Schizosaccharomyces pombe: one gene and its partners. The protein of the gene in region 4 purifies or fractionates together with the protein of the main gene of each other region. This does not show direct contact. Each region holds a gene or a part of one and is shown on either strand. Other genes may lie near its edges. The genes, in order: mcm7, irc3, mrm202 and pfh1.

The links.
Region 1: the proteins of pfh1 (region 4) and mcm7 purify together in Schizosaccharomyces pombe (affinity purification with mass spectrometry, with the first as the bait; one study listed by BioGRID). This does not show direct contact.
Region 2: the proteins of pfh1 (region 4) and irc3 purify together in Schizosaccharomyces pombe (affinity purification with mass spectrometry, with the first as the bait; one study listed by BioGRID). This does not show direct contact.
Region 3: the proteins of pfh1 (region 4) and mrm202 purify together in Schizosaccharomyces pombe (affinity purification with mass spectrometry, with the first as the bait; one study listed by BioGRID). This does not show direct contact.

Annotation. Positions count from the first base shown.
Region 1 is NC_003423.3:3,717,075-3,721,716, forward strand, and holds mcm7 (MCM complex subunit Mcm7), read right to left. Parts: upstream 2,966-4,642; 5' UTR 2,847-2,965; coding exon 564-2,846; 3' UTR 503-563; downstream 1-502. UniProt on the Schizosaccharomyces pombe protein: Acts as a component of the MCM2-7 complex (MCM complex) which is the replicative helicase essential for 'once per cell cycle' DNA replication initiation and elongation in eukaryotic cells.
Region 2 is NC_003423.3:3,366,642-3,371,252, reverse strand, and holds irc3 (ATP-dependent DNA helicase Irc3), read left to right. Parts: upstream 1-2,026; 5' UTR 2,027-2,032; coding exon 2,033-2,212; exon of another isoform or gene 2,213-2,256; coding exon 2,257-2,388; exon of another isoform or gene 2,389-2,445; coding exon 2,446-2,738; exon of another isoform or gene 2,739-2,777; coding exon 2,778-2,807; exon of another isoform or gene 2,808-2,855; coding exon 2,856-3,007; exon of another isoform or gene 3,008-3,048; coding exon 3,049-4,082; downstream 4,083-4,611. Other genes in the region: RNA polymerase I transcription factor subunit Rrn6, read left to right, coding at 1-1,675; pus4 (tRNA pseudouridine synthase), read right to left, coding at 4,237-4,611.
Region 3 is NC_003424.3:1,279,979-1,284,617, forward strand, and holds mrm202 (2' O-ribose methyltransferase Mrm2-like protein), read right to left. Parts: upstream 2,845-4,639; 5' UTR 2,558-2,844; coding exon 2,363-2,557; exon of another isoform or gene 2,190-2,362; coding exon 2,139-2,189; exon of another isoform or gene 2,096-2,138; coding exon 1,436-2,095; 3' UTR 1,381-1,435; coding exon of another isoform or gene 1,129-1,380; 3' UTR 1,083-1,128; coding exon of another isoform or gene 723-1,082; 3' UTR 517-722; downstream 1-516. Other genes in the region: eos1 (N-glycosylation protein), read left to right, coding at 1-347; SPOM_SPAPB17E12.09 (uncharacterized protein), read left to right, coding at 723-1,082, 1,129-1,380; oligosaccharyltransferase gamma subunit Ost3, read left to right, coding at 3,152-3,357, 3,409-3,526, 3,585-3,664, 3,781-4,127, 4,174-4,352; mrx21 (coenzyme A/ diphosphate transporter), read right to left, coding at 4,553-4,639.
Region 4 is NC_003423.3:3,567,066-3,572,504, forward strand, and holds pfh1 (DNA repair and recombination protein), read right to left. Parts: upstream 3,412-5,439; 5' UTR 3,124-3,411; coding exon 1,869-3,123; exon of another isoform or gene 1,828-1,868; coding exon 665-1,827; 3' UTR 528-664; downstream 1-527. Other genes in the region: cem1 (3-oxoacyl-[acyl-carrier-protein]-synthase condensing enzyme), read right to left, coding at 1-122; sphingosine hydroxylase/sphingolipid delta-4 desaturase Sur2, read right to left, coding at 4,315-5,196.

The DNA of each region.
Region 1 (4,642 bases), 150 kb from region 4:
TATTTGATTCTTACGGAGAAGTGGATCCGGCAAACTAGTTATAATGGAATTAATCAGTATTAAAAAGACGTTAAAACAAAGTAAGTTATTTAAAATGGAATGCCCATTTCTTGACACCAATGGGTATCCAAAGTTGGTTGCTCTAAGGAAGTGCGTAAAGTTCTATTCGCAATTTACTCGGCATGACAGCAGGAAGGGTGGGACAGCAGTGATGAACAAGTTAAAGGTGTAAAATAATGCTAAATGTCAAGAAATAAAAACTCATTACTCATTCCTACGACTCGAGCATATTGACACGTATCTTAAGGTTTTATGGTCCTTCCAAATCTAACGAAACATATTGGCTTAATATATCTTCCTTTCAATTGCGTGAATTAACATTTGAATACAAGTAAATAAACTATCATAGATTAAAAGAACGACAGATGTATTAGTCAGAATTAAAGAATATTCAACAGAAAAGTAGTTTGACGTCTCAGAATAATTTCTATAGGTTGTAAATTAGCTTAAAGCAATTAATTGGCAGAAAAATTAAATGATAGGAGTTATCTATTAGTAAATTGTTAATTCTCCATATGTAAATCCGGATCGAGGAACATTATTGTTTGACCATTGTTTGTAGTTAAAAGAACACCAAGGTCTGTATATTCCTGTATTGTATTTATTAAATGATCTTCAGTAAAACCCTTAGCAAGTACGCGTTCACGAATAGCACGTAGTGTAAGTGAGCGTTCATTGCCTTCAACATCTGGTATGCTATTAAGCATGTCTCGAATAATTTTATATATTTTCGAGGTAATAGTAGTATCGTGAGAACTAGGATCCAAATCATCGTATAGTGATGACTTTGAAACAGACATTAATCTCAAAGCTTCATCAACATCGCCAATCTCCACTCTATTACTGAAACGCAAACGAGCTAATGCTTGTCCCATTCGCAAAATAGCGAGAAGTGTACGTGGAGTAGTGTGAGCGAATTGACGCTCATTGGCTTCATCACGCTTTTGGTTTTGTCGAAGTTGAACATAAGCACCAGTAACATAGTCGCATACATCCTTTGGTACGACTGGGCGATATTGTCTAGCAGAAGAAATATAATGCCTAATCATGTTTGGATCTAATGGTTCAAAGTCCATTTTAGGTTGTTCGTTATGCATGTGAACATATGTTACGTGTTGTGCCAAATGCTCGTCTGTTTCACGAGAAGGAGTATCTAAAATTAAAAATAAAATATCAAACCGGGAAAGCAGTGCAGCTGGAAGATTTATATTGTGGATTGGTGCCACTTTCGGATTATATCGTCCATATAAGGGGTTCGCAGCGGCCAAAATACTTGTTCGAGCATTTAAAGTCGTAGTGATTCCTGCCTTTGAAATTGAAATAGTTTGCTGTTCCATTACTTCATGAATTGCTGTACGGTCACTTTCATCCATCTTATCAAATTCGTCAATGCAGCAAATACCGTTGTCAGCAAGTACTAAGGCACCTCCCTCTAAAACCATTTCATCCGTCACTGGATCACGCATTACAGCAGCAGTTAAACCAACACCTGAAGATCCACGACCTGTGGTGTATACTCCTCTCGGGGCAACCTTCGAAATATACTTTAATAATTGAGATTTTGCGACACCAGGATCACCAGTTAAACAAATATTTATGTCACCACGAATTCTCATTCCATCCCCTAACTCTTTAGTAACACCTCCGACAAGCAACAGAAGTAAAGCTTTTTTAACATCTTCATGTCCATATATCTCGGGAGCAATGGACTTGGCCAGTTTTTCGTACACATTGCCTCCTTGATTTAATTCAGCGATAGCAGCCTCCGATTGAGGAGTTTTTTCAATATTTGTGTAATTTTTAATGATTTGTGAAACATAATGGCATTCTAAGTAAGTATCGGTTAAGAGCCCGGCGCGCATTGCTCGAAAACCAGTATACGGAGTCGGCAAAAATATACCAGAAATATCAACGATATCGCCAGGATTTACAGAGCGAGTGATAGCACCATATAAGTGGACGGTTAATGATCTAGGGATATGGCCAATAGGTACTTGGTTCGTTAATTCTTGTATTTTTACTTCCTGAAAAGGAAGAAATTTACTGGCTCTTGTGCTCATGAAAAGCTGACCTTTTGCATCATTCTTTTTACATTCATCCGAAGGACATTCAGACATTGGAAGGAATGTCTTCTGACGGATTTCTTGAAACACTTCATACCCACATCGATCACATGTATAAGCATTTACAGTTAAGCTAGGCTTAACATCACTTGTACGAGTAACTATACCACGGACAGTCAAAAGAGATCCCAAGTTTTCGCCTCTTAAATCACGAACGCTGAATGGTTTTTTGTTGCGAGTTACTGGTCGAAAGTATAAGTCATAACCTCGGGTTAATTCAGGAGGAAATCCTTTATGCTCAGGGTCTATATTTTCATTCCTTTGAACACGTTGCTGCATAATTACATCAAGTACTTCGTTGCGATAATTAATTTCCACAGTAGGAGGAGGCATCAACGCATCTGCGCACTGCGAAAAAAGTTCAACAAACCGTTTAGCATTAGATTCAATATTATGCAAAAGCTGAGTATCACTTGGATCGAACTCGTACAAATCATTCAAATCAACATTAATAACATTTGACTCTCGATTGGAGATTTTTTGTAGTATATCCATATACTTTGATTTTAAAAAAGGCTCATCACCTGCATCCGACATCGAAATATCCTGATTTTGTTGTCCATCTTGAACCTGTTCCTGCTTGAAGTGGGATAGAAAATCCGTAATTTTATGTTGACATTCTTCATACTCTGGGATTTTTAAATCTATGGTGGGAAGTGCCATGCTTTTCAAACCAAAAAAGTATCCCAAAACTTTTCTGCTGAATTAGCAAAAAATATAAAGGTTCAAAAAGAAAGCAAGGGTATTAAGTAAGGGTAAGATACCAAGAAAGGTTCTTCTTTAGGTTGTTTTAGTTAGTTGGTAGTATGAATCAACGCGAACTCGTAAGGTAACAAAAATGTAAATATTGTAACTTAGGGCATATACAAATTGTCATTGACTCTAAAGAAATTGCAGTGTATAATTTTTTTGATTCTCTACATATTTCCTTTTTAATTTATTACTCTCGCAGCAAAAGTAAACATTCAGTTTGATTTTAAAAGCCACTATGTAGTACTGTTAGAAATTTTTTTTGGAGAGTATTCACTATGTATAAATAAACAGTTTATTTGTTTTAAATTAATAATAATCATTTTGCCAGACAATAAATTGGTCATTTTATTTTCATAAATGTATGTCTAATTGTTTTCATTGCTTCAATCGATTGTTATTTTAGCTATCCATAATTTTTCCTATTTTTCTTCTACACGTTTTGTATTTCTAAACATGAGAGTTATTTAGACTACTGCCTAAAATTTATTTCACTTTTATTTTTAAAAATTTTTTTGAAAACTTATGAAGTAAGTTAGCAGGGAAATTCTCAAAAGAAATGCGATATCAACAATATAAAAACTTCGAGTAGGGAACTTTTTATTTTTTGTTCGGTTATTTCAAACATCAGTGAAGAATGAATATAGAAAATTCTTTATTGTTTTATACCACATTGTAAACTGTACCTAAAAGCACAACACGCAATAGAAACGTGCTATTGGAATGCTTATTTATTTTCTGTTTACAATAGACGAATATAAGTATTTCTTTTTTTTTTTACGAAAGGATCAAGGTATTAAAATTATTCACAGTATGTGGCTAGGTCTCTGTCGCGCTTATCTTTTTTTAATTAAGCAATGTCTTTATGTACGGTCGCGTCGCATTAGAAGTTTCGTGATTTGTAATATTTGAGCAGTTATAAAGCGCTCTACATCTCGGATGAAAAGGAGATTGTGAAGAGATATTTATTTCTAACATCATATCGTACTACTAGGCTGATATCATTGCGTTTCATCTACAACATAAATTGAGGTACCCTGACGCGTCTTAAGTATTACACTGAAAACTACTTTATTAAATTATAACAAAAAGTGAGAAATTTAATAATTTATTTATTACATAAAGTAATAAATTCATTTCTATTTTTTCAATTATTTGAGCCTAAATAATTGAATTTATTCGACTCCACGCTTAGCATCGAATTCTTCGATTTAAGCTATCACATTTTTCTATTAACTAGCTACAATTTCCTGCTTTAAGAAACCGTTATTATAACACACCAGAAGGGAAAGGAAGTAAGCCCTTGCTTTTCCCATTTAATTTGAGATTGTCTTCGAATTTATTTCATTTTTTTTACTCGTTGCGTTTGTCTCCAAATATTAATTAGTACATTGTTTTTTTTCAACGTTATTCATCTCCATCAGCCTTTGACTTAGTTTAACTGCAATTTTCCACTCTGTAAAATAAGGCAGCATTTTGTCTATTTTGCCTTCACTCTTATTCATTGTGTTATCATACCCAAAGTGCGACAAATTAACATCCACAAAAAAAACGGTGGTGTTGAATATACTACAATACTGTGCACTACATTGGATAACCTACCTTTGAAAGTTTTGCCATTAACCACAACACATCTTGGGAAGCCACATCGCAAGAGATAATCGCGGTGGAAGAAAACTTTTGTACTTATTCTATATACAGATAAATCC
Region 2 (4,611 bases), 200 kb from region 4:
ATGCTTCGGTAGTTCTTTCAAAGAGTCTTTGCAACAAGCATTATGTTCTGCACCAACAAGTTCCATTGCTTATCACGAAGAAGAAATAAATCCCGATAATACAATATATAGAGCTAAATGGGAAGAGTATTTTGGCGGTGTCATTTTGCATAATGCTTTTTTTATTCTTCATGTGTCTCTTGGGGAGGTACCTGATTTCCATCTTTTATTCCACTGCAGTTCAGATGTTAGGATTCTACAAGTGGTAAATGAATCTATGCCTATTAAATCTGAGTTTTTCATTTTAACTACCGAGTCCGTCTTGTGGATGGATATTCAACATCCTCAGAAGCCGCTACTTGAATGGAAACATAATAGAAAATTAGATCCTACTTTGAAAATTACGGTTACCGCTACTTTTTCTCAAAACATCTATGTCTCTGTTTATTCTCAAATGAATGGTGTTGTCCAACAAATTCATTTTTCAAAAGACAGAGCTCTACCTGTATCAGGTAGTCATCCATTTCTATTATTAAATGAGGTTCAGGTTCCCATAAGATCCCTCATTATACAACCTTGTTATTTTTTTGAGTCATCTGAATTTGACAGACAAGGTCCTTTTGATTCACCTTTTTGGTCTGCAATAATTGATAAGGCTGACGGATCTCTTTCCTTACATATTCTTTGCGAAAAAAGTTCTCTTAAAATATATAATTTAGAGGAGCTTACTGGTTCTAGCCAAGTTGCTATGAAATTTAAAACTATCACCCCTTCTGTAAACACTAGTGAAGATGATTCGGCAAATGATCAAGAAATAATAAGCACTCCGAATTCCGATTTTCAACAATTATCACTGTCACGGTTATACCATGTTTTGTGCTCTAATAGGAACAAAAAGAATACTATCACCCTTGATGAATTCGCTAGCAAAGTTCCGGATTTTGTAGAAGCTTTTGATTCTATCAATCACGATGTTATAATAACTTTGAGTGAGTTATATGACGGATTTCCTTTGAAAGGAACCTTTACTAATGTAGCTGAGATCATAAGTCATTTAGAAGGTACAGAACTATCATTTTATTTTCCTTATATGTTTGGTATTAACTACAACAATGCTTCTTTCTTTTATACTTCCGTGGACTCAATTGCTAGTTTAATACACAGGCGCTGGGAATCTAATACTGATAAGTCTGTCGAAATTCCTTGCTTTCAGTCTTCTCAAAGAAGATCTATAAAAAATGTTATTCACTATTTATTTCTTTCTTCTATAGGAGTCTCCAGGGAAAAAATATTTGATCCATCATTGTCTCGAAAGGAAATCGATTCAACCGACTTGCTTACATTTATCAAACCTTTTTATGATACGGAAGGCCTGGAGCTGAATGAAGATGTTAGAAATATTTTGGAGAATTGGGAGATTGGAAAGATATCTTCAACTTATGTCATTGGTGATAGCGCTGTCGAAACGGAGGATCCATCATCTAGCCAATTTAGTGATTTCTACATTTCACAACAGCAGTCTTCTGTACTTCCCTCAAGCCAAATTGCGACAGTCTTTTCTCAAGAAGATGTTCCTAATTTTTCATCGCTATACTCGGAGAGTTCTAGCCAAACTATCCCAATAATGTCACAAGTCGTTAGTGGCAAATATGGTTCTCGTCCTTCCAAAAAGAAAAAGAAAAGAAGCGGATTTTAAATCCACCCGTATTTATTTATCTGTAAGTGATTTGTTTACAACTTGGGGAATAATTTGCTTGAGTTATTGATACTATACCAATGCTTGGACATAAGGTTGGTAGTAAATTATTTGCATATATTATGAAATTGCTAAAATTTAAAATTTTTTTTTCTATAATGTTTATAGAACTTTCAAATTTTATATCTTAGTTAGCCTTTGTAAGTCAATAAAAGTAAGTAATAATTAATTGTCTGCATGTCATGCTAATTTATGCTCTGACAAATTATTTTAACTAAGCCATTTTATGCCCTTATCCATTGCTGTATTCTATAGTTATAAAATTATTTTTGTGTCAGAGATTATCTTGCCGTAGACATGCTACTAAACGCATGTTGCAAAAAGAATTTGTGGCCAAGAAATGGTTCAACTATATTTAGAAGATTTGCTCTTAAACTTCGTCCTTATCAAGAAGAATGCCTCAGTGCCTGCTTAAACGCTTTTGATGAAGGTAAACGTCGAATTGCTGTTTCATTAGCTACAGGCTCTGGTAAAACGGTATTACTGTTCTACTACTGACTGCAATATTAACACGTCTAAAGGCATTGTTTCCCCACTTTATAAAATATGCACCTACTTTAAGGCCAAACTCTGAGCAATGTCTAATTTTGGTTCACAGAAAGGAGTTAGCTTTACAGGCCCTCAAGCATTGCCGAGAAAGCCTTCCGAATAAGGTACCGTTCTTTTTCCAAATAGATTCCACGCTGTTTCGTTTACTAACTTTGCCATAGTCTATTGAGATTGATATGGGCAATCAGTGTGCATCCGGACTGGCTGATGTTACCGTTGCGTCAGTTTTTTCTTTAAAAAATGAAAGACTACTTAAATATAATCCTCTCAATTTTAAACTTTTAATTTTTGATGAAGTTCACCATATGGCGTCTCCTTCGTACTTACGAATCCTTGAGCATTTTGGCGCAGAATCGGAAAAATCGAAAGTGAATGTGATAGGACTTACTGCGACTCTTTTCAGAGCAGACGGAAAAGGGTTGGCTTGTGGCCTAGATGAGATTGTTTATCACAGGTAATGCTAACAGTAGAACGTTCAAATGCTAATAAATAGACATTTCGTGGACATGATCAAAGATAACTGGTAAGTGTGTCATATTTATAGGTACTCTTCCTAACTCCCAATGTTAAGGCTTGTTGAACCAAAAGTCATAAACATAAAGTGGTCTACAGATCTTGTGTTAGCTGATTCGTCTAGCTTCTTGGACCAAGAGAAGTTAAAAAAGGAGGCACAATCAGAAAAGGCAATATTCGAAATTCCAAGAGCTTGGCTCGAACATGCTAGTAAGCTGAATATAGTTATCTCTATATTAATTTCCTTTTAGGTAACCGCTCATCTACATTGGTGTTTTGCATAAATGTAGAGCATTCATTAAAAGTTTGTAATGCATTTCGAAAATTAGGTATTGATGCCCGAGCTTTGTTTGGGGAAACTAATGATTCGGAACGTGAAACTTTAATCCAAGATTTCCGAAAAAAGAAATTTCCTGTCCTTGTTAATTGCATGGTGTTGACTGAAGGGACCGATATTCCTAATATTGATTGTTTAATGATCGCTCGGCCTACAAGTTCTCCAAATTTACTTACACAGATGATTGGTAGGGGATTGCGATTGCATGAGGGAAAAAGAGATTGTCTAATATTAGATTTTTGTGATTCTTTAAGAAGAGTCAGTCTACATGTTGACCCTACTTTAGCTGGTCTTTCCCCCGATGAAGTTGAAAACTTTTATAATAAATCAAAGAATTCCCTTGCGAACCCTGATTATGATCCTAAAATTTATGGATTACAATCTGTTTTGTGGTACAGCAAATTACGGAAGTTGATAGAAATGATGGATAACATTAAAAACAAAGATAGGAGCATTTTCAATTTATCTACTAATGCTTGGGTTGCTGTCGGTATGGGTCGATATGTCTTGAGCTTTTTACAAAAGGTGTTGATAATTGATACAAATTTTGAAGATGGGACACATAAGATATCTGAATATACGAAAGAGAAATTAGGGACTCGAGTGTATAATCGAAAACGTATTGTATCCGATCGCATACCTTCCTTGAAATTCGCGATAAGGGCAGCGGAAACATACATTTCCAATTTGAAAACACCTCGTTCTCTTATTAGTCGTAAAGCAGTGTGGAGAATGAGACCCGCGTCTGTTAGACAAATAAACTTCTTGAAAAAATCAAATTTAAAACTAGATGAAAAACTCTTGACAGCAGGTGTTGCAGCTGATATGATTACTAAAGTAATTTATGGAGGAAAAGGTCGACAAGTTAGAACAGATAAGCTACAAAGTTATCTGAAACACGACGCAAATTTAAAGCGTATTACTACATTGAAGGAATTAAAGGGTTGATGGTTTCAGTGTTCTTCATAAAAATCGTTTTCTTCACTGTACCAGTGATAATATTTGCTTGGAGTGGAAAAGAAATGTCTATTATATGCTTTTAAAGAAAATATGAATGTCCTTATCTAAAAAGTATATTACTGGTATATATATTAAGACTGCTTCAGCTTGTTTCGTCTCCTTTCAGGTCGATTTTGAACGCTGCTGCGAGTTTTTCCTCCCAGCCTGGAGCTGAAAATTCTGAAAAATCAAAGCAGTTTTCATCGTCTAGTGCAAAAGACCCCTGTTTCAATCTCACAAGATCGACCATGTGTGCTTCACTATTTACTTGTCGGCCCAAATCATGAATTAAAGAGCGAACGTAGAAACCAGAAGAAACCGTCATATCAAGGACTGCAATTGGCCCTATTGCAGGTCGTGATCCTCGCGCTAAATCAGTGACTTCAAACTTTCGTTTTTTAGGGTTTGTGACAGTTTGATCTTTGGCTACATCTGTAACAGAATTGGTAGTGGGACTCTTCGCGTTTATTTTTTCATC
Region 3 (4,639 bases), on a different chromosome or scaffold from region 4:
CCATTATAAGGCTCTTTTCACTCAACGTGATAAATTTTTCATTCCTATCATTAAGCGTTAGTTTTATTACACATGGCGACAACGCTTATTTACTTCCAGCCTGGATTGCTATCTCTTGTTTCCAGACTGCAGCCTACATAGTTCAAGATTGGATCACCTCTCCCATAATTAGAACACTTCCTTTTCGTTCCTCATCCAGTTCATCTTCCAATTATCGACACAATCTCGATTTTTTAGAGATCACCGTTTTTGCTGTCGTGCCAGTGGGTATTGCAAGTTTTTTTACGATGGTTATGCTTATTTGGCAACTTTACAAATACCCGGATTCTTTTTTAGTGTCTGCGTAAGTCATTGTTTGGATGAATTGGGACTATTTGGACTAACACGAAATGTTGCCTTCAGTTGACCATTGACAGTCTCTACAAAATTATTTAACGTTAATTATTCTTTTTTTAATCTGTTTGTAAATTTTCATTAGTCATTAAGTTTGCTAGAATACTTTTTGACAATTGTGTTGTTCTGTTCTTTTAATTCTTTGCATATGGGATATACTTACATGAAATATAATTTGATTGTTATTTTTTGATAAAATATAGTTTATCTTCTGAATTACTTGACAGGTTCACGAAGATCCTTATGATTTTTCGAATGTTCCGTTTAAGTTGTTTACATTTGTCACATAGAGTAAACATAACGTATCCTCAACAAACTTCATTTTAAAAATGCAAGACCGCTTTTTAAAGGAAAATACGGAAATAATAAACTTATCTTCAAGCATTCATCCCAATAGGGATAGTTATTTGGATTCTCAATCCGACCCCTTAAACCAAAACCTCTATAATATTGAAACAGAAAACGTTAAAGATTTAAATATTGAAGATGTAGATTATTATGAAAAGTTGCAAAATTTCAAAATTGTTGACGAAAACATTGATCCAGGTTTAAGGACATACTCCAAAAGGTCTGTTGGGGTGAATAATACTTTCCAAAATCCCTGTAATAGAAAAATTGAGGGCTATATAAAAGAAATTGAAAGACTCAGTAACAGCAATAAAAATCTTCAAGCAGCTGTACTTCAAATGGTATGATTATATTTAGTATAATGCAAGGTCTGACTGCTCTCATTAGGCCGTCTCGGACACCGATGATCCAAGGTTAAAAGAGGAATATAAGCAAACAGAGAAGGAATTACTTAGAGAAATTTCCGGCAACCATAAGTCTAAAATTCTAAAATTAGAAGAAGAGTTAAATGATTTAAAGCACTCCATGAAAGAAATGCAATTGTACATGACAAAAATCATAGACAAAGCAATGAACAACGCTTCGCTCGAAAATCTGTTTTCTCTAGATGAGAATAACACAAAAATCCACGACAAATAAGTTCAGGAAAAGGGAAAGAATGTTCCTCTTATCAACAAACTATGTACTAAAACCTTTAAATGTTCAAAAGCTTAGAATGACATGACAGCTGCTTCCCGGAACAAAAATAAACTGCATATAGCTCATCTTTAATTTTAGTTTTAAATTGAATTTTTTTTACACATTTAAAGCACATAGATAAATCCTCAGCAAAACTTCGTAAATGTGAACTTTCCAATACTTTACAAAGGAAAATTCCATCTGGTTTCAGTGCTTTTATGGCAAATAATAAAGCTGCCTGGGCAAGATAAAGCGAATCCAACTCGTCCTTAACTGCTAAATGCTCATTAGTTTGCATAGCTAAATAAGGTAATTTTGAAATCCAAAATTCGAATCCCTGAACCATTGGAAATGGGGGACCTAAATCACTCATTATAACATCTGCTGACAAATCTTCAATTTTGGCTTTCTCTTTTGTATCTCTTTCTTCTTCAAAGACTGACTGCAAGTAGGGAATAGAAGCAGAATTATGATCTTGTTGATTTCGAAAAAAAGAGTTTCGACTACGAATGGCTGCCTTAGCTATTTCAAGCTGAATTTCCATACTTAGTATATTACCTTGAATCATACTGGAGTTTTCAGGGAGCCTACAAGGAATTATATCACATGCAATAACTCTACCAAACAAACCAACATGTCGAGCAGCTATTGTACTCCATATTCCAGGTGCACAACCCTAAATTGATTAGTTGCGTATAAAAATTTGACCATTTACCTACCAAATCAACAACAATCTGACCAGGTTTGAAAAGCTGATGCTCTTTGTTTATCTTAATAGTTAGCAATAAACAACTCCATAGAAAAATATTAATTGAACCTTGAAAAGTTCAGCAGATATACGGAATATGTACGACAGTTTCTTAGATGCAGTATGCTCCTAAGAATACCTTGCAACGGACGTCTGTTGACATTTCGACGGGACCCTTTTAACAATTGAACTTACTTTCTCAATGAATTTTTCATTTGCTGTCTCAGCTGACTTTCTCAGAGATATTAAAGTATTCTTTTTTGTCTTTTTAGGAGGGTTGGAATAAAAACGTAATAAACAACTTGAAAAGAGAGAATTGTTAAACCAAGAAGAACTTCTGGCTATGGCCGAATAAGCAGAGGAACTTCTACTCCAAATTCTCATAGACATATTATTTTGTGGAAAGCATTATCTAACATGAATAGTCACTGATAGTAAATATCAACATATAATAATTCATGGGCAATGTAAAAACTTGACTAGGAGATTTTGATAAATTAGGAAAAAAAAGGTATAAAAAATTGTTGACCAGGTGAGTTTGTTAGTAAAGAAATGCTTTTTGATCGAGGAGACTATGGTTGCGGAACAACGTAAATATATACGAAAATATTAAATGTCTGGCAAGAATTATAAACTATTATTATGGATCGACTGCAGGTATATTTGGAGTAAATGGCAAATATAAACAAAATATATTTACAAACTATAAAGTAATTAGTCCCTGGAAGTAAAAAATTATAATATACTCTAAAGCTAATGATAATAACTTATATTATTAAACCTTTAATAGAAAGAAAATTTATTTAACTAATCCCAAGAAATCAAAAGCTTTCTGTTTATTCTTTGAAATCTCTTAAGTTTGTTTAATGAATTGCAACTTCATAGGTAACAAATATAACGAATCTCTGCGCATCGACGGTTTGCTTAGCGGGGGCAGCCATTAAGCAGAAATGAGGCTGCCAAGGACAAACTATTGAAGGCAAGATGAATTTCTTCAAAATCCTCTCGTTTTTCTCCCTCTTTGTAATTACATGCTTTGCAAAATTAGATTTAAATTCAAAAACGGATGCTGATGGAGTTATTCAAATTACCGGCAGATTGTTTCATCGAATCGTAAATGGAAAACAAGATTTCACCACAGTAGCTCTTTTCTCAGCCGATTCCTCTACCATGAACTGTGATGTTTGTCGGTAAGCTCAGAAAATATTATATTAAGTTGATTTATTTTCTAACGTTGTTAGTCTCATTGAACCGGAATTTAAAGCGCTTGCTAATTCGTACAAGTTAAAATATGGTCTTGACAGTGGAATACGTTTTACCTACGCTGATTTTGGAAAGAATAAGAATCTTTTTCAGGACGTATGTGATGCAGTCTTGTAAATTTTCCCAACTTTATCAATACTAATTGTACTCATAGTTTTCCATTGAAAGCGTCCCTAATTTTTGGATTTTTAAACCAAAATCTATTCAAGCTATCCACGTAGACTTAAGCCATGGGTAAGTCCAAACACTCATCTTTCCTCCGAAATTGTTTGTTTGCGAATACTTTTTTTTAGTAATTCGCCGTACTATTTTTAGTTTTTTTGAAGAAATAAAAAAACTAACTTACTTAGTGTCACTGCTTCTCATCTTGCTGCTATTGTAGAAAAGCATACTGGGAAAATCGCCGATATTGTATATAAGCAAGATCAAGCCAAACGGGTTGGTGCTTTTCTTTCCTATATTATCGTTGGAGCTGCTTTATTCTTTACCCGTAAAATTATTGTCAAAATCTTTACAAGTCGCAAAGTTTGGGCCGCCTTAACCATTATCACCGTTATTACTTTAAGTAGTGGTTACATGTTTACTCGCATTCGTTTCAGTCCTTATAGTCAACGTGGTGAACACGGTGAAAACCTTTGGCTTGCTGGTTCTCAACAATTTCAATTTGGTGCTGAAGTTCAAGTTGTTTCCCTATTGTGTAAGTTTGTCGTTAAAATTTTAAAGTGATTCTCTAACATTTTTAGATACCGCTTTAACCATGTCTTCCATCTTCCTTGCAATCGTTGCTCCTAAAGTCGAAGGAGCCAAACGCCAAACTTTGTTCGTTATAATATGGTTGGCATTCCTTTGGATTGGTTATAGTTTCCTTGTTGATATTTTTAAGAGGAAAGTTAGTATGTATCCATTTAAGCTTCTAATTTAAAGAAATGTATGACTTAATGAATGCTGCTTGAGCCTACTGCTATTCATTCTTTGACTATGTTGTATCCGGGAAAGTTCGGGTTCTTATGCATAAAATCATTATTAATTTACAAAAATTTCTAATATGATATCTGTAGTATATTTCAATAGTAGGGGTATGTTGGGTAGCATCATTTTGAAATTGACAAGACGACTCTTAATTTAAAGATCGTGAAGCATTTTACTAACAGTTTCATATGTATACCATGTAATACTCATAACAGGGATAATTTTCAACATATTGCTCGA
Region 4 (5,439 bases):
TCAGGAAATCCTTTAAGAGATACGATACCTGATTTTCCTTGAATTAGATTTCGCCAATTGGTTTTAACTCCATTGCCTAGAGGGGTTACGGCCCCCAGTCCAGTTATTACCACACGTTTCATTTTTCTAGCATTACTTTGTGGAAATAATAATAGATTATCTGTCGTTTCTTTCGACAGGGTATTTGAGGCGAGAATTTAACAGTATATAAATCGATCAAAACTGTGTTTATGTTATCGATTTCAAAGTTCTGATTGAAAGTGGATTAAATGTTCAGTTTTTATGCATGGTCAAGGTGTGTTGGCTATTAAAGTTAAGAGACTGATTGAAGCGAGGTGCACCCTGTTCGTTTAATTACAGTTTATGCGATAGTTAAAGATTACTAGAAGGTGGCCTTGTAACAATTACTTCCTGTACATAATTAAACATCCTCAAGGAATACCGCTGTTATAGAAATGAATTAGCACCATAGGAAAAATAATAATAAATGTAAAGCTCAAATTTAATAAACAAAGAAGAAATTAAATATATGAATATATTATTAAAATTATTTCTATGAATAAAATTACCTAATTAGTCTAAAATCACTGTACACTTCAACCATATATATTCAGGCCGTTATGAATAAATCTTTAGTACATGGTAAACTCGTAAAAATTGATTTTTACTTATTTTTGACTCCCCTCATTTGAACTGGAGCCTTGTTTTCATTACGTATCGGCAAACCATTAACAGAAGCCAGTTGTTTATAGAATTGCACGACTTTGGGGTGTGCCATCACCTTCGCAGGCGAAAAATTAAGAACCTGGAGACCTTCTTGAGTAGTTGCACGAGATAAGGCAACATACGCTTGCCCTTTCTCAAAAACACGACCCAAATCAACCTTGACTCGATCCAAAGTCTGTCCTTGTGCCTTGTGAATAGATATCGCATAAGCCAAAATAAGAGGAATTTGGCTTCTAGAAGCTTGAACCTCACCATTGGGAAGCTCAATATTCCAAGTTTCCCGTTGTACAACAATTGTACGTTCACCTCCATTTGGAAGTTTAAAACGAACTAATGGCCATTTTATTGCCGTGGATGAAGCTTTACGCATTGCAATCAATTTATATTTCTTTTGCTTAACGTCTGGAAGATCAAAGGGTGAAATGTCTAAACTATCATATTCAAAAGCATTTCTTCCCTGCATTTCAGCATCCTTTTTTTCCATTTGATAGGTCTCATCATCTATGAAACCTATAACTTTTCCAAGAGATCCATTTACTAACTGATCATCTATATTCTTTATAAGCATTACCTGAGCATTTACCTTTAACACTAAAGTGGCAGGAGCCATGCACCCTTGCAGTAATCGGTCACGAAATTCTTTATCTCGAACAGTACCCGAGTCAATAGCGGTAAACGTGACAGGATTTTGATTAATTTGTTGCATACGCATATCGTTCGAACGCTCAACCTCATAACGTGTGGGAAATAACTCTGTCGGAAGAAGCCCATCTTCATATTCAATCGTTCTATTAAGAACTTTGAATTTTCTAACCGATTCATCAGATAATTTCCCGAGGCGCAATTCATTAAGCATTTTGACAAATTCCTCATCCTTTTGCCGAAAAACGTGAGTCAATCCTATTGTAAAATCAAGTGCGCTTTTCCATGTCTGAGATTCGAAACAGAATTTCGATTCTTTCCCATTTTCTGGAACAGGAGGTAACTGAAAAAAATCCCCAGTTAAAACCAACTGAATTCCACCAAATGGCTTACTATCTTTGCGAATAACACGCGCAACCTCTTCTAACTTGTCCATTAATTCAGCATCGACCATAGAAACTATAGTTATTAGTAAATATAAACTCACTTAAATTGTTTACCTTCATCAATGATCAAAACTCTGGTGCGCAACCAACGATTAACACACTTCTTATTTTTCTTTATTTTAGATACCAGGAGGTCGACAGATTCACGAGCAAGGCCTACCCCAGCAAAGGAGTGAAGTGTTACACCGCCGATATTACAGGCTGCCAAGCCTGTAGAAGCGGTAACAGCAACTCTGTCAGATTGCTTTCTATATTTAGATTTTAGGACTTCAATTATTTTTCGGAGGAGAACAGATTTACCTGTTCCAGCAGAGCCCGTAAAAAATATACTGTGTTGTTGCTCAACAACCATGTCTAAAATTCTTTTTTGCTCATCGGAAAGGAATATGCTAGGGACAGATTTTTTACGAGAATCACTTGTCTTAAACAAAGAAGATCCTATTGGCGATTTGGAAGCAGAGTTTAAAGGAACAGAAAATTTTTTAGATATCTGTGGGGTAGACTTAGATTTACTCATGCGTTTTTTAGCCAGACTATCCAAAGAACTGCTTCGTCCATTGCTAAGCTTATTTGAAGAATCATTAGATACAGTGTGTTGACTGATATCAGCTGAAGTGCTGGTTCTTTTAGGATCAGGATCTCCATATCTGTAAGGATCCACTGCCCAAGGAAGGGTTCGTGAGCGTTTTATTCCCTGCCTCGTAATATTACTAGATATTACGCTACTTGCGCCTTTTTCAGAAGTATGGTCTTCGTAAATTTTTGAGAGATGATTTTTTGACCGCTTTTCGCTCGAGAGCATTGATTTAGTTAACTTAGTATGCTCGATAGGGGATGAAGACCAAGGAATTGGTTTTTGGTCAATATCGTTTTCTAAAAGTAGATCATCATCAAAGTCATTTTCATCAATATAGACGCCATTCGCTATTTCAGTGGAGTATTTACTACCCAAGCCAGAATTTTCAAAAACGGGCAGTGAGGGTTTCGAAACATCGAATCCCACGGTGTTATCAAGTTGTTTTAAGCTAGCAGCAGAACGACCTCTTTTGGCTGGTAGGGTTATTGGAGATGACGGAAGGTTATCAGACTGGCTAGAAAATGTTTGCTGATCATCATTAGTAGAGGAGCGAGAGGAATTGAAGTTTAAAGAAGCGGACGAAAAACCGCCCAATTTGTTCAAGGAGGGTTGATGCGATGACTCGTTTTGTGTATGAAGCAAGCTGCTTTTCTGCTGAGCTCTTTGAAACATGACGGGGATACGTTTCCTAAAAGAGTGACTAAATTTATAAAGAGATTGGCACGAAAACATTCATCGAATTACTTCAAGAAACTGGAAGGCGATCTGTACGCAGGTTGTCTAAAAAAAGAAACCGTAAACGAAATAGATCACCCAAAATTGTTTGATCGAAGAAAAGCAACAAGAAAACAATTTCAGTTTGAATTTAAACAACAATCTGCTACTGACTTATGCGACCTCGACCTAACACCTATGATAAGCGGTCCAAGCACATAAGAGTTGGAAGTATCCCTTTGTTGATTGTATTAATTGGGATACCGGTTGAAGAAATTTGTCAATGTCGAGGAAACGGCTGTTGACAAGGAGGTACAGAAATGAAAGCGCTATACTAATAAAAATCAAATTTACGGTGGTAGTGGACGAGACAAATGAAAGCGCGTATGTCAAGACGCGTCACGTCTGTCACCACCAGGCACGTGTTTTTTACTTCACAACTTTTGCACAAATTTTTTATCATTCAATACTGTAATTATCATAAAGTCCTTTTTACATTAGTCGTTCCTTAAGTATAACTTGCATAATTTGCTTTCGGGGCCTATGCAATGCAATGCAAATAAATTGACTTTTGTTATAATATGTTACAATCGAAGCAAATATTAACCCGTGTTTACAGTAAGTTATTAATTTTATAATATTTGATAAAACGCGTCTACGATACCATATCCTCGGAAGTCTGTAAATAATAAATGCTATCAATTAATAAATTATATACTGTATGTAGACTAAAACAATCAATACTAAGTCGAAAATTCAATAATGAGCGACAAACGATTTAAATTCGTTGACCAACCAACTTTGGTAAAGATACACAAAAACATGCATCTTTAGGTAAGTATCGTGTTCTTCAGCAGTCCGTGTCAAACATCCCGTTTTAAAGAGACTTTAGAAGTGGAAAATAACATAAAAATACAAGGTTACGGTTATCACAAATACCTAGAGTCATAGGAGGGATAACTTCAACAGTAAGGATTGCCAATCGATTTGTACTACCGACAAATTTAAAAGGAAGAACAATTAGATTAATAAAATTTCAAAAAAAATGAAAATAGCAAACAAAGAAACTAGAAAGAATGAGAAAAAATTAATAGTAAACATTTATAACTCAATATAAAAAAAACAGTATATTGGATTCAGCAGAAGTACTAAGGATAAGAAAGATTCAAAAAATGCAAATATCACAGAGCACATGTACTTTTGTAATTTCTAGTTAACCTTCTTTGCATTCTTAGCCTTTTGCTTTTTCTCGTAAGGAGTTTCAGACTTGGGAGGCATGTAAGTTCCCAAAACGTGGTCCCAGAAGGTAAAGAAGGGCTGGCTAAAGTTCTTTTGGAAACCGTAAGGTTGGTGATGAAGGTCATGGTAACGAGCATTATTGGCAAAGAACATTTGAAGAGGGTCATAAGGGAATACGTATCCACAGTGATCATCAACAGTCTTCAAGGTAGAAAGGGTGAAGAAAATAACAGCTTGTTGAGGAGAAAGACCGGCGGCGAGATAAGCAACACCAGCGCCAAAAGTGTCCAAAATCAAACCTTCAAAGGGATGGTTGTAAAGGGCACCCATAGCATAGGGAACTTGGAGACGATGGTGATGGGCATGAATCATGTTGTAGAGCTTCTTGTTGTAGTGGAGGTAACGGTGCCAGAAGTATTGCCAGCTGTCAATGATGAAGAAAGCAAAGAAGTATTGGAATGCGGGAACAATAAAGTTATAAGCCAATTTAGGGGCAAAGGGAGCAACTTGTAACAAAGCAGGCAAATTCTTGCTGAAGAAAGCCTCGTAGCGTAACATTTGCTTAGCCTCGTCAATGGGTTCAGGATAGCCCTCGAACATGGCCAATGCGATTCCAACGACGACTTCGCAAAGTTGTTGGAAAAGCACGGCTTTAACAACAGCCATCTGAGGAACACGGTTGCGTCTGGCTATCTCCTCCGGAGGATGAATGCGATACTTCTCAAAGACAGGTAATTCAATGTAATGCAAAAATCCGAAGAAAGCAGAAGCAACCCAGTAAATGATGACAGGAGAAACCAAGGAAACGGTCACTGGGTTCCAGGTAGTTAACATTTCAACGGTGGTAACCATAGTGGCAAGAAAAATTCAAATTCGAAAATATAGCAAAAAGTTAAGTGAAAGTGTAAGAAAAGAGAGAAGCTGATTAGTTATATATATGCGAATATATATCTATGTGTCTAGACTGAAGAAAGAAAACAGTTGGTACAATATATACAAATCACAAACGGCAAGAAATGTGATTTATACAAACAATTGAAAAACGATGAAACCAATAAGGAACCTTTTAAAACAACAAGTAATAAAAAGGATATT